2 linked regions of the Drosophila melanogaster genome follow. The protein of the gene in region 2 interacts with the protein of the main gene of each other region in a pairwise test. Each region holds a gene or a part of one and is shown on either strand. Other genes may lie near its edges. The genes, in order: teq and Pepck1.

The links.
Region 1: the proteins of Pepck1 (region 2) and teq interact in a two-hybrid assay, tested with the Drosophila melanogaster proteins (one large-scale study listed by BioGRID).

Annotation. Positions count from the first base shown.
Region 1 is NT_037436.4:9,072,717-9,077,747, reverse strand, and holds the start of teq (tequila), read right to left. Parts: upstream 3,106-5,031; 5' UTR 2,970-3,105; coding exon 2,919-2,969; intron 2,685-2,918; coding exon 2,126-2,684; intron 2,077-2,125; coding exon of another isoform or gene 1,882-2,076; intron 1,729-1,881; coding exon of another isoform or gene 1,483-1,728; intron 1,430-1,482; coding exon of another isoform or gene 953-1,429; intron 891-952; coding exon of another isoform or gene 727-890; exon of another isoform or gene 292-726; intron 1-291. Other genes in the region: CG4942 (uncharacterized protein), read right to left, coding at 3,429-4,019, 4,077-4,541.
Region 2 is NT_033778.4:18,534,939-18,540,095, reverse strand, and holds Pepck1 (phosphoenolpyruvate carboxykinase 1), read right to left. Parts: upstream 3,330-5,157; 5' UTR 3,304-3,329; coding exon of another isoform or gene 3,220-3,303; 5' UTR 3,059-3,219; coding exon 3,027-3,058; intron 2,863-3,026; coding exon 951-2,862; 3' UTR 680-950; downstream 1-679. Other genes in the region: CG45087 (uncharacterized protein), read right to left, coding at 3,220-3,303. UniProt on the Drosophila melanogaster protein: Catalyzes the conversion of oxaloacetate (OAA) to phosphoenolpyruvate (PEP), the rate-limiting step in the metabolic pathway that produces glucose from lactate and other precursors derived from the citric acid cycle.

The sequences.
Region 1 (5,031 bases), on a different chromosome or scaffold from region 2:
CGACCAAACCGGTGGCGTTTGCTGACCGTATATTAGCCACCTTACGTGGGCTATACGTTTATTCAGCTTAGTTTTCAAACCGCCACGGTGTTTGCCCATACTCAATAGAACTCTACTCACTCAGATTTTTCCTTGGTTTTTGCAGTTCCATTTAATTAGTCCAGTCTTCTTCCAGTCCAGTGTTCCTTTGTTCCTTTGTTTTCACCAGCTTTGGTCAATTCGTCCAGCGTTGGACGACTGTCACGGTCGCCATGTAATGATGAACTCCAATTAAGAACACAAGTCCGTTTTAAGTTGAAGGCAGCCGTCGGGCTGACATATATTTATTCAATTTCTTCTTTTGATTTTAGAGTAGGCAGAAATGGTTCTGTCAGCTCAACGTCTACAGAGTCTCTCCGATTTTACAGTTTTTTATATATTTGGACTTAGGCTAATCCGCGTAGCTGCGCTGCCGGGTACGCCAGCAGCGGAGCGGCGTTCTTATGTATATCTTATATATCTAGGCTTATCGGGAGAGCGAGATATGTATGTACGTATGTAATATGTATTTGGTCGGCGTGTGAATGCTGACCATGCACTTATACTTTTTGCCTTCGAGTGGGCAATGCACTTATACTTTGTGGCCTTCGAGTGGGTGATCATGTTACATCCGCCCTGGCCTAACTGCGTGCATAAACATAAACATAAACATAGCAACAAAGTGCTGCCATAAGTTAATATGCTATTTTATTTAATTGTTCTTAATATTGCATAGGCACATACTACACAACTCTCAATGAAGGTCTGCTGATTCCAGCACCTGACATACTTGGTGCAATCGAAGGGATGCAGATAGAGTCCCTGTGCTTGTGGAGGACAAGAAAGCGTCGAACGATCCACCATAAACTCAGCTGTAAACGAAAAAGTGGTCTGAAATCAAGTCCAAGTCATCAAGATTCCTTGAGATGCTTACTGGAAAGTTCAGCACTGATATAGGAGTAATCCAAGTAATCATGTGCAGAGAGAAGGCTACGAGGCACACATTGACGCTGGGAGAGGCTGTAAAGCTGTCCAGTGGGACAGCATATGATCTCTAATGCTCCATATTGGCACCTGACATAGTGGCCAGCATGGAATGGATAAGGGTAATTCTTCTGGACATTGGGTGGACACGATCTAAGTGAAGACAGCTGGCTTTGAACATTTCCCCGTAAGTCTTGAGAAGTATAAGTGGTCTGAACTTGGACTTCCTGCCAGAACTGCACCCGATCAGATATGTGCACTTGATGACTTGGAAGACAACTTCTTTGGGATACACTGAATGCCATCTGGGGGCCACAACTTAGGATGGACATTCTGCCACCAGACGAGCACTGAACGTACTTTTTAGCATCGTAGGGATACAAGAAGATGCCGTTGATGTTACCAGGACAGGCATTAAGGATAAGTGCTAGTAAAATATTATCATAAATTCTAGTGTACAGTGATGATAAAGTAACTTACAATACTCATAGCTGATTTCGGAGATAATTAATGTGACATAGTCGGTAAAGGCTAATTGTGCTTTTAACTGACAGTAGCGCCTCGATATGCTAAACACATAATTAGGTTGGCAGTTTTGCACAGCCGATTTACCATCCTTACAACTAAGGAATTTTGTTTGATCAAAGGGATGAACAAATTGGCCAACGGCTCCCACTGGACACAAGAGATAGTTGACCTGAATCTCAGCCGACGTGAAGGAGGAAGCTGTTACAATTCAAAGGGATCAGGATTAGAGTCTATCAACTAAGCAGGCAAGCAAAGCGTGTACAGCGTAATATGAGAAAATAACCCGAAATGAAAAAGCAGATGAATCAAGCGAGGCCAAGCAGTAGGGATAAGAAATGAAATGACACTTACAGGAGGTCCGAGGGGAGTCAGAATACACACATACCGAAGAGGAGCCATCGAAGATGTGGCCCCGTGGACACTGTTCCACCTGAGGCTTAACCCCAATTCCGCACCTCAAATACTTGTGCACGTCGTGCGGATGTGGACGAAGCCCACGTGTACCGGGTGGACAGCCCAAGTCATCAAAAGGCAACGCAGGGTAGCCTAACCGAGTGTTAGTCAAGATTTTTGTATTTAAATCACTCATACGTACCGGTGCCGGAGGTATCATCTCGTACTGCTCCAGTTCCCGATCCGCATTTGGCCAAATCCTTGTGCACACATACCAGTGATGCTGGACTAAAAGCAGTTCCTGGTGCGCAGTCCATAATAAAAGCTTGACCATTGGCGCAGTTAAGAAACTTGCTGCAATCCGAAGGATGCGGTTGCAATCCATTCACTCCCGGTTGACACTTGGGTTCACTATCTAATTGCCTAAGTCTTCCCAGTCGAGTAGATGCAGATTCCGCTGAAGGGCAAACCACATTGCTGGGATGATCGCACACCTGGGTCCTGTCATTGAACAGAGTTCCGGGCGAACACGTCTGAATGGTGGGGCTGCCATCGAAGCAGTTCACATAGCGATGACAGTCGTGGGGATATGCAACCAGACCCGTAAAATGCGGCGGGCATGCCGAATCCCGATGGTAAATAGGCTGCTGCTGGTCGCCTCCGTAACTCGAGTGTGCGTTCCCTGTTGCTGATAAGCCAACTGGTTCCGACTGCTCGCTGTGGTAGCCACTGCCTGATCGATAAGCTTTAGCCCCGGGTCGCTGTCAAAAGCGCAATTATGAAATATTATTGAACAACCGTAAGTAATTAGAGGCAAAATTTAGCTAATAGCTTGTAATTAAGTTCAATTAAAATTAAAGTCTTAAGCGCGTTTTAAATTCCTAAACAACATTTTTAGTTTGACTAAAATCTTAAAAAATTGTAAATAATCTAGAATCTAGATGATATCCTTAAAAAACACAATTTGAAATTATTAATAAACTTTCTACACTAACATCCACTAGCAGGATCGCCAGCCAAAGGCCAAGGAGCCACTTGGCCATCATTTTACGTTTCCGCTTTATAAGTATTTGAATTTAAATATTTCTTAAAATGCACCGATGCTGATAGCAACTACACAATTGTTTTTCTCGCGCTTTAAATTCTTCGTTGTGATCCCGTTCGAATTCCAGGCTCGACTGACCCACACCCAGATCGCATTTCAATTCAATTGGACTCGGGATGAATCTCTATCTCTGCCGCCGCTGATAGATGCTCTCGTTTGTCGCCAAACCAATTGAGTGGACCACACTATCAGGGCTTGTAATCTCAAGACCTTTTTGCTGTCTTATCGCCTTGTTTTGTTTGCATTTCTTTTGGGGTTTTTCACTCATTTATTTACTTCTATGAATCTGAGATGTTGGAGCTTAAGAATGATGATGATGAATTACAGTGGCGCAGTCGCATTTAAACAAACTAAACGTCATACCCAAATTAGACTAGGTGATTATGACTAAGAGACTAGATCATTTGGCTGCCGGCTTATCAGCCGGCGCCCTCTCGGCAAGTCTTAGCCTCTGCTGTATTTTTAGCCAGAGCAGATCGTACGGCTCACTGAGTTCCGTTTGTGTTTTGGGAATTCCCACAGATCGTCGCACTTCCGGCGAGAGGATGAGCAGATTTTGAGCAAGGCCAAAACTGCTGGAAGCTACCCAGTATACACATAAAGCTGAAGGCACTGTACAGGCTACTGGAACCATCACAACACTCAATCCACGGAACACATTGTTGGCGATGTTCTGCAAGCGTGTAGAAGGACGAGTTCTAGACATGGCTTGCACTTCAATGATGGCCAAATTGATAAGACCTAATGCTACAGGCAGGATATAAGAGTTATCCACCACCGTAAGGTTTGGTATCCAACCAAATCCGCCAATGGTCATTTCGGTGGTCACGATTTGAGCTTGAATGGACGTGGGATCCGGCAGCATGTACACTAAATTGCGCAGAGCCACGGATTGAAAGATCCACAGGGGAATCTGACCCCATAGCACAATCATGGTCTTCATGGGATGGCAGTTATCCCGAACTATAAGGTTCTGCCACTGCTTCTTGATCTGTAAGATAATTGACATGACGAAGAGTGTCTCGCAAACATTTGAATTTTAACAAACCGAACGCCGATAAACAATCTGAGTCTGCTTTTCGCTCCACTTGAACTTGTGCTTGGCCATGGCTGCCTCTTTTTTCAGTTCCTCCACAATGGCCGGCATCTCCAGCGCTATCTTTTCAATTCTGGCGGTGATTTTGTGCTGGTAAATGGTCAGAGGCAGGGTGACCACGCTCCGAAAAAGGAAAGTGGACAGCACGATGGACGCCCACCAGGGCAGGCCACTGTAGTCGTGGATCTTAATGAGAACATCCTGCATATAGGCCACCGGCGTGCTGTTGGACAAGGTCTGCCAATATCCCACCAATCCACCGGCATTTGCCAGTTGGACACTCGCGGCCGCCGCTTCTGTAGACGACAGACGATGATTGCATGTGTGATTCGCAATAGTTGTTCCTTGGTATGTGTATTTGTAGATGCCAGCAATTGATGAACTTCTACAGGTGCGTAAAAGAAGCAAAGCTGACATTTTTAATTAATATAAAACTAATAATCAACGTAAACAACTATATAGAATCAGCAGTGCGAGTTGTTATCATTGTGAACAGCTGATTGTTACCATAACACGGCTTCAATCAGTGTGGCCGTAGCTAGGCATTGTAGTTGCATTAACCCTTAACTTACGATGCTTTTTTTGCTATCCGAAATTAGGAAACATTGAAATGCAGTTATTAATTTGAAATCATTTAATCGTTGATAAGAGAACAATAACAAAATTTATACAGTCATTTTATACGACAGCAACACTTTTATTTCCTTTGCATTTTTACTCACTTTGAAATTTCTAAATTAATAATTATCTCGGCTTACTTAAAATGGCTAGACCTAATTTAAGTGCATAAATTGTTTTTTAATTGACGTTTAATTTCATACGTATATGCTTAAGATAAAATTGTGCTTGTATTCATATTTGTTTTCTTGGTCTTGGCATATTTGCGACCTCGTGCGACGGTCACTCT
Region 2 (5,157 bases):
ACCGACGAGCAACAGTTTGCACGGCCAGCCGCTCGGGGCTTTCTGCACTTCCGTTTCCGCTGGCGACTGCCGCTCTCACGAACTTCCGCCCGGTCGAAGCTGCGGCGGCGGCTGCTCGAGCTGAACTGTGGTGCCCACCGATTCTTGGCTGCCTTTTTCCTGGCTCCCGATTCCTGTGAATCCGAAGTGCTGGAAAAGCTCCGACTGTTGAGCTTTTCGCGGCCTTCCATTGGGCTGGAAAATGGAGCCGAGGAAAGCTAGCGAATGCAGTGGATAGCCGTTGCAGGAGATGATTGGGAAATCATCTAGCGGTTTCATCTTATATAAGGCAAGTGGGAAAAATTTAACTTAATTTATTTCTATAATCTTGGCAAATTAACACCATAAATTAGGATTTTGAAAAATATTAAAAGTCTTAGTTATGAAACAAGAGCAAGACTAGTTACAAGTGTCACATTTTATAATTATAACATTTGAAATTTATTTAGCAATCATTTAAAAATCCTAAAACGTATTAAAACTTGTTTATCTATTTAACTGATTGTTTGAAGCGTTAATAAATAAATCATGCAGCTATAAAGCATTTATTAGTATATTAACTATTGTATATATACTGTTTAGAATGTTCACAACATTCAAAAATCCAAGTTTGTGATAAATAAATACTCATATAGGATGTAGGTTATAAAATCGTGTTGTTTTATTTTTTTTTTAATTTTCTCTGTTTGTATGGCCTACTTGCTAATCTTATGGCTGCTTATATAATAAATAGTTTGGAAGTCTTCGGCTTAAGAACTAGAGAAACGACTAAATAAGGTATTGGGGACAGGTATTTAGGACAGGTTAACAAATTGGGTTGGTGATGGGGTCAGTACGGGATAGCACAGTGGGTGAGCAGGTGTGTGGGCAGGTAAAGATGCTGTAGATGGGACTCTCCTCATTGATCCTTCTTACAGGTTGTCTACGCGGGAAGATAGCTCGTCCAGCTGCTGGTAAATGCTGGCCGGAAGATCGGCGCCCACCTGTGACTCGAAGTAGGTGCGAATATCCTTGACCTCCTGCGACCAGAACTCCTTGGGCAGCGAGAAGATCTCCTTCACGTCCACCTTATCCTTCATGCCATCGAGGTTTAGGGCACCCTCGGCGGGAATGTGTCCAATGGCCGAGTCCACGTAGCAGGATTCGCCATTGACCCTGCGCAGGATCCATTCCAGCACACGGGAGTTCTCTCCGTATCCGGGCCACATGAACTTGCCCTCGGCACTCTTGCGGAACCAGTTGACGTGGAAGATCTTTGGCACCTGACCACGCTTCTCCATGCTCAGCCAGTGGGCCACGTAGTCGCCAAAGTTGTAGCCAAAGAAGGGCCTCATGGCGAACGGATCGTGCATGATCACCTTGCCCTTGTGCTCGGCCGCAGCAGTGGCCTCACTCCTCATGGCTGCTCCAATGAAGACTCCGTGGGTCCAGTCCCGAGCCTCATAGATTAGGGGCACTCCGGCGGGACGACGTCCTCCGAAGAGCATGGCGGAGATGGGCACTCCCGCCGGATCTTCCCAGGCTTCATCGATAATCGGGCACTGGGCGGCTGGAGTGCAGAAGCGGGAGTTGGGATGCGCAGCGGGCTTGCCGGAATCCTTGGTCCAGGGTTTGCCCAACCAGTCAGTGATTTGGACATTGGGAGCCAGACTGCTTTCCATGCCCTCCCAGAACACACCGCCATCAGAGGTGGAGGCCACGTTCGTGAAGATGGTGTTCTTGAAAACAGTGTTCATGGCAATGGGATTGGTCTCCATTGAGGTTCCTGGAGCCACACCAAAGAATCCATTCTCTGGGTTGATGGCACGCAGCACTCCCTGCGAGTCAAACTTCATCCACGCAATGTCGTCGCCCACGCATTCCACCTTGTAGTTGGCCAACGAGGGATTCAGCATGGCCAGATTGGTCTTGCCACAGGCCGAGGGAAAGGCGGCAGTGATGTACTTCTTCTCGCCCTTGGGATCGGTGATGCCCAGAATCAACATGTGCTCGGCCAGCCAGCCCTCCTGCTTGGCAATGGTGCTGCCAATCCTCAGGGCGAAGCACTTCTTGCCCAGCAGCGAGTTGCCGCCGTAGCCCGATCCGTAAGACACAATAAGGTTCTCGGCGGGCTTGTGCAGGATGATGGTGCGTTCGGGATCACAAGGCCAGGATGGCTGCTCCACCTGTCCGTTGGCAGGGGCGCCCACAGAGTGTAGGGCGCGGACGAATTCCTCCTTCTTGGCCAGCTGGCGCAAGACAGCGGCTCCCATGCGTGTCATGATCCTCATGGAGGCCACCACGTAAGCAGAGTCCGTCAGTTCGATTCCGATCTTAGAGAGCGGGGAGCCCACAGGACCCATGCTGAAGGGCACCACGTACATGGTGCGACCCTTCATGCAGCCGGGGAATCGCTGCTGCACTGCAGCATCCATGTCGCTGGGCGAGATCCAGTTGCCCAGGGTTCCCTTGACACCCTCCACTGGAGTGGGAATCGTCTCCTCCCGCCGCTCGGTGCAGATGAAAGTGCGCGACTCGACGCGGGCCACATCCGCCGGATTGGTGCGGGCCAGCCAGCAATTGTCGTACTTGGGCAGCGGCACAATGGTGCCAGCCTCCAAGAGGCTCTTGATGAGCACCTTGTTCTCCTGCTCGCTGCCATCGCAGATGTGCACCTGGTCGGGCTGGCAGAGGGCGATGCCCTCCTCCACGAAGGCACGGACACCGGTGGTCAGCAAATCCACATTTCCATAGGAGATGGGAATGCCACGGATGTGGCTGTACAGACCGCAATTGTCCTGGCGCAGCTTGTGCAACTGGGGCAGACCGCAGACATTGCCGGAGCTAAAGAGAAAGAGAGAGATAAAAGGGAAGTGGGTTATTAAAATTGCAATTTAATTAACTGACTTCGATAGTGGGACCCCAAATAATGGACTGCATTAAAAATTAATTGCCATTAAAATCCCCCATTGAATGCGTTTCGAGTGACCTCTTTAATGTATACTTACATAATTTTGCTTTGTTCAATGAGCTCAGGCATTTTGTTTGTGTTGTTTTTTATGAATTTTTCTCGAAAAAAAGTTTGGAATATTTTTATTAGATTTTTCTGCGCGTGAAAGGGTTTTTGGCACTTTGCTTAATTCGCTTATCACAATTTGAGTAATTATCACAATTAGTGTTCTACTGTCGAGGACTTTGCGTTCATATGTTCTTCCACAGTTTTTTGTCAAACATCAACTTGATTTTCAGACCACTGAAAGTAGGCTTTTCACTTGATCTTTCCATTTACTCTGGCCACGAGTAACTGATGCCAACTGCTCCGATCCGGGGCCTTTTATACCCAGCCGGCGACGCCTGGCCATCGAGGCGACTAGAACAAGTCGGCCGATCGCCACGCAAATCGGGTTTTACGATCGCCTCGCCGAGTGAGAGGGTCAAACTCCGGACGAGCTGATTGGCTGCCGGCGGAGGCTCGGCGATTGTTTTGGTTTTTCACAGGCGGCGCAGCTACGATGAGTTGGTTGTGGGTGGGGGGGGGGGGTCTACGGAATGGGGGGCATGGGCATACAGATACGTATATGGGGTATGTCCCCACATGGCAACAGCAGAGTGTTGTTTTCATGTGGCGCTGAGAGCGTTTTCTAGTGCGTTTGCATTGATAAGCGTTTGTTGTTATTTTGAACACCCTGATATTTGCCACTTTCGCGCTGTTAATTTAATTATTCTATTTATGATTTTATGCGATACAAATGTGGCCGCTGCGAATATAGAAACCAGTTCACGGACAGCTGAGGCAACAGCAGTTGTTGTCCCCTGCAGCTGGGTAAATTCTGGATGTGTCTATAGCTGCATTGGCCACAAATATAGCTACATTGGTGCAACATCGAATGGTGGGCCACATCACACGCGCCCGCCCACTTACGCCTGTTTGACCACATGTGTTGGCCTCTCGTTTTTGGACATTTGCCAAATCGAAAAAAACTTTCGCTTATTTGTAGAATCGGTGACGGAAAATTTGTATGCTAATCCGCCCCCCTCGCGGCATCCAGATGAGCCGGGGGCCTCCCCAATTGGCCATGGCCGCCTTGGAGGCCAGTATTCACATTCATGTGACTCTGGGGGCGCACCAAGAATAGCATGGCCCGGATGGTTGTCATGTGGCCACTCTTGTTTTTGTCTTTGGGGAAGGAGAAATGAAGGTGCTGCCGGTGGTGTGACTTTGTACCCCGAATCCAGTTTACCAGAAGACCCAGAATCCTCTGGGTACTCGAAGAAAAAGTTCAACAGAAGCAGTCGGGAAAGTTGCACGTAAATATGGCTCTGTTTTTCATTGGTTGCGTAAACATTTATTTGGTAGCAGTGTTATTTATAATGTTAAATTAAAACGCTTGCCAACTCTAATTTAAAACTTCAAGCTTAATTCAACTTCATAACAAATAGGCCAAATATAATTTTTATTAAAATTGTTTTAAATAATTATAATAAGCCGCTCACTTAGCCTAGACCCAGAAGAGACTGGCGTCCAACGTCCTTGGAGAAACCTGATCAGATGGTTGTCCTTGGTCCTTGGCTCCCCCCTCTTACAGTCCCCGTCCCCATTTTTGACTCCCTTTACGAAAAGTCCAGTTGCGAATTAAATCGAATTCGTCTACACGCGTTGCCGTGATTTTCGATTGGTTTATTTATAACTATGGACTTGTTTTTCTAGTTGGGCCTGATAATCTTCATCATCGGCATTAATTGCTGGACCCAGACTTGGACTTGGACTCAGACTCTAACTGCTTCGCTCCTGTTCTCACCTAACCGCCACTTGGCGCATTTCGATGATTCGGGCTTATTTGGAATTTACGTCAATAGACGATCGATTCGCTAAATATATGCATAATCAATAATGCGATTGGTTGAGAAGAAGGCAATGGGGAGGAGGGAGCCGGGCGGGTTATCAGTGGACGAGCCTCTGAGTTCGTCTAAATATAGATCAGACCCGGATTTGTGCTGTCGACCAGGAAAACTTTCCGAGGGAAAACATCACTATGAGGATCTTTACATTGCCCATGAACTATTTTAAGGGATTCGATTTCTTAGCTATTTTGCCTTTTGGTTTCTTGGCTTATTGGCTTTTTATCGCTGTTCACCCCA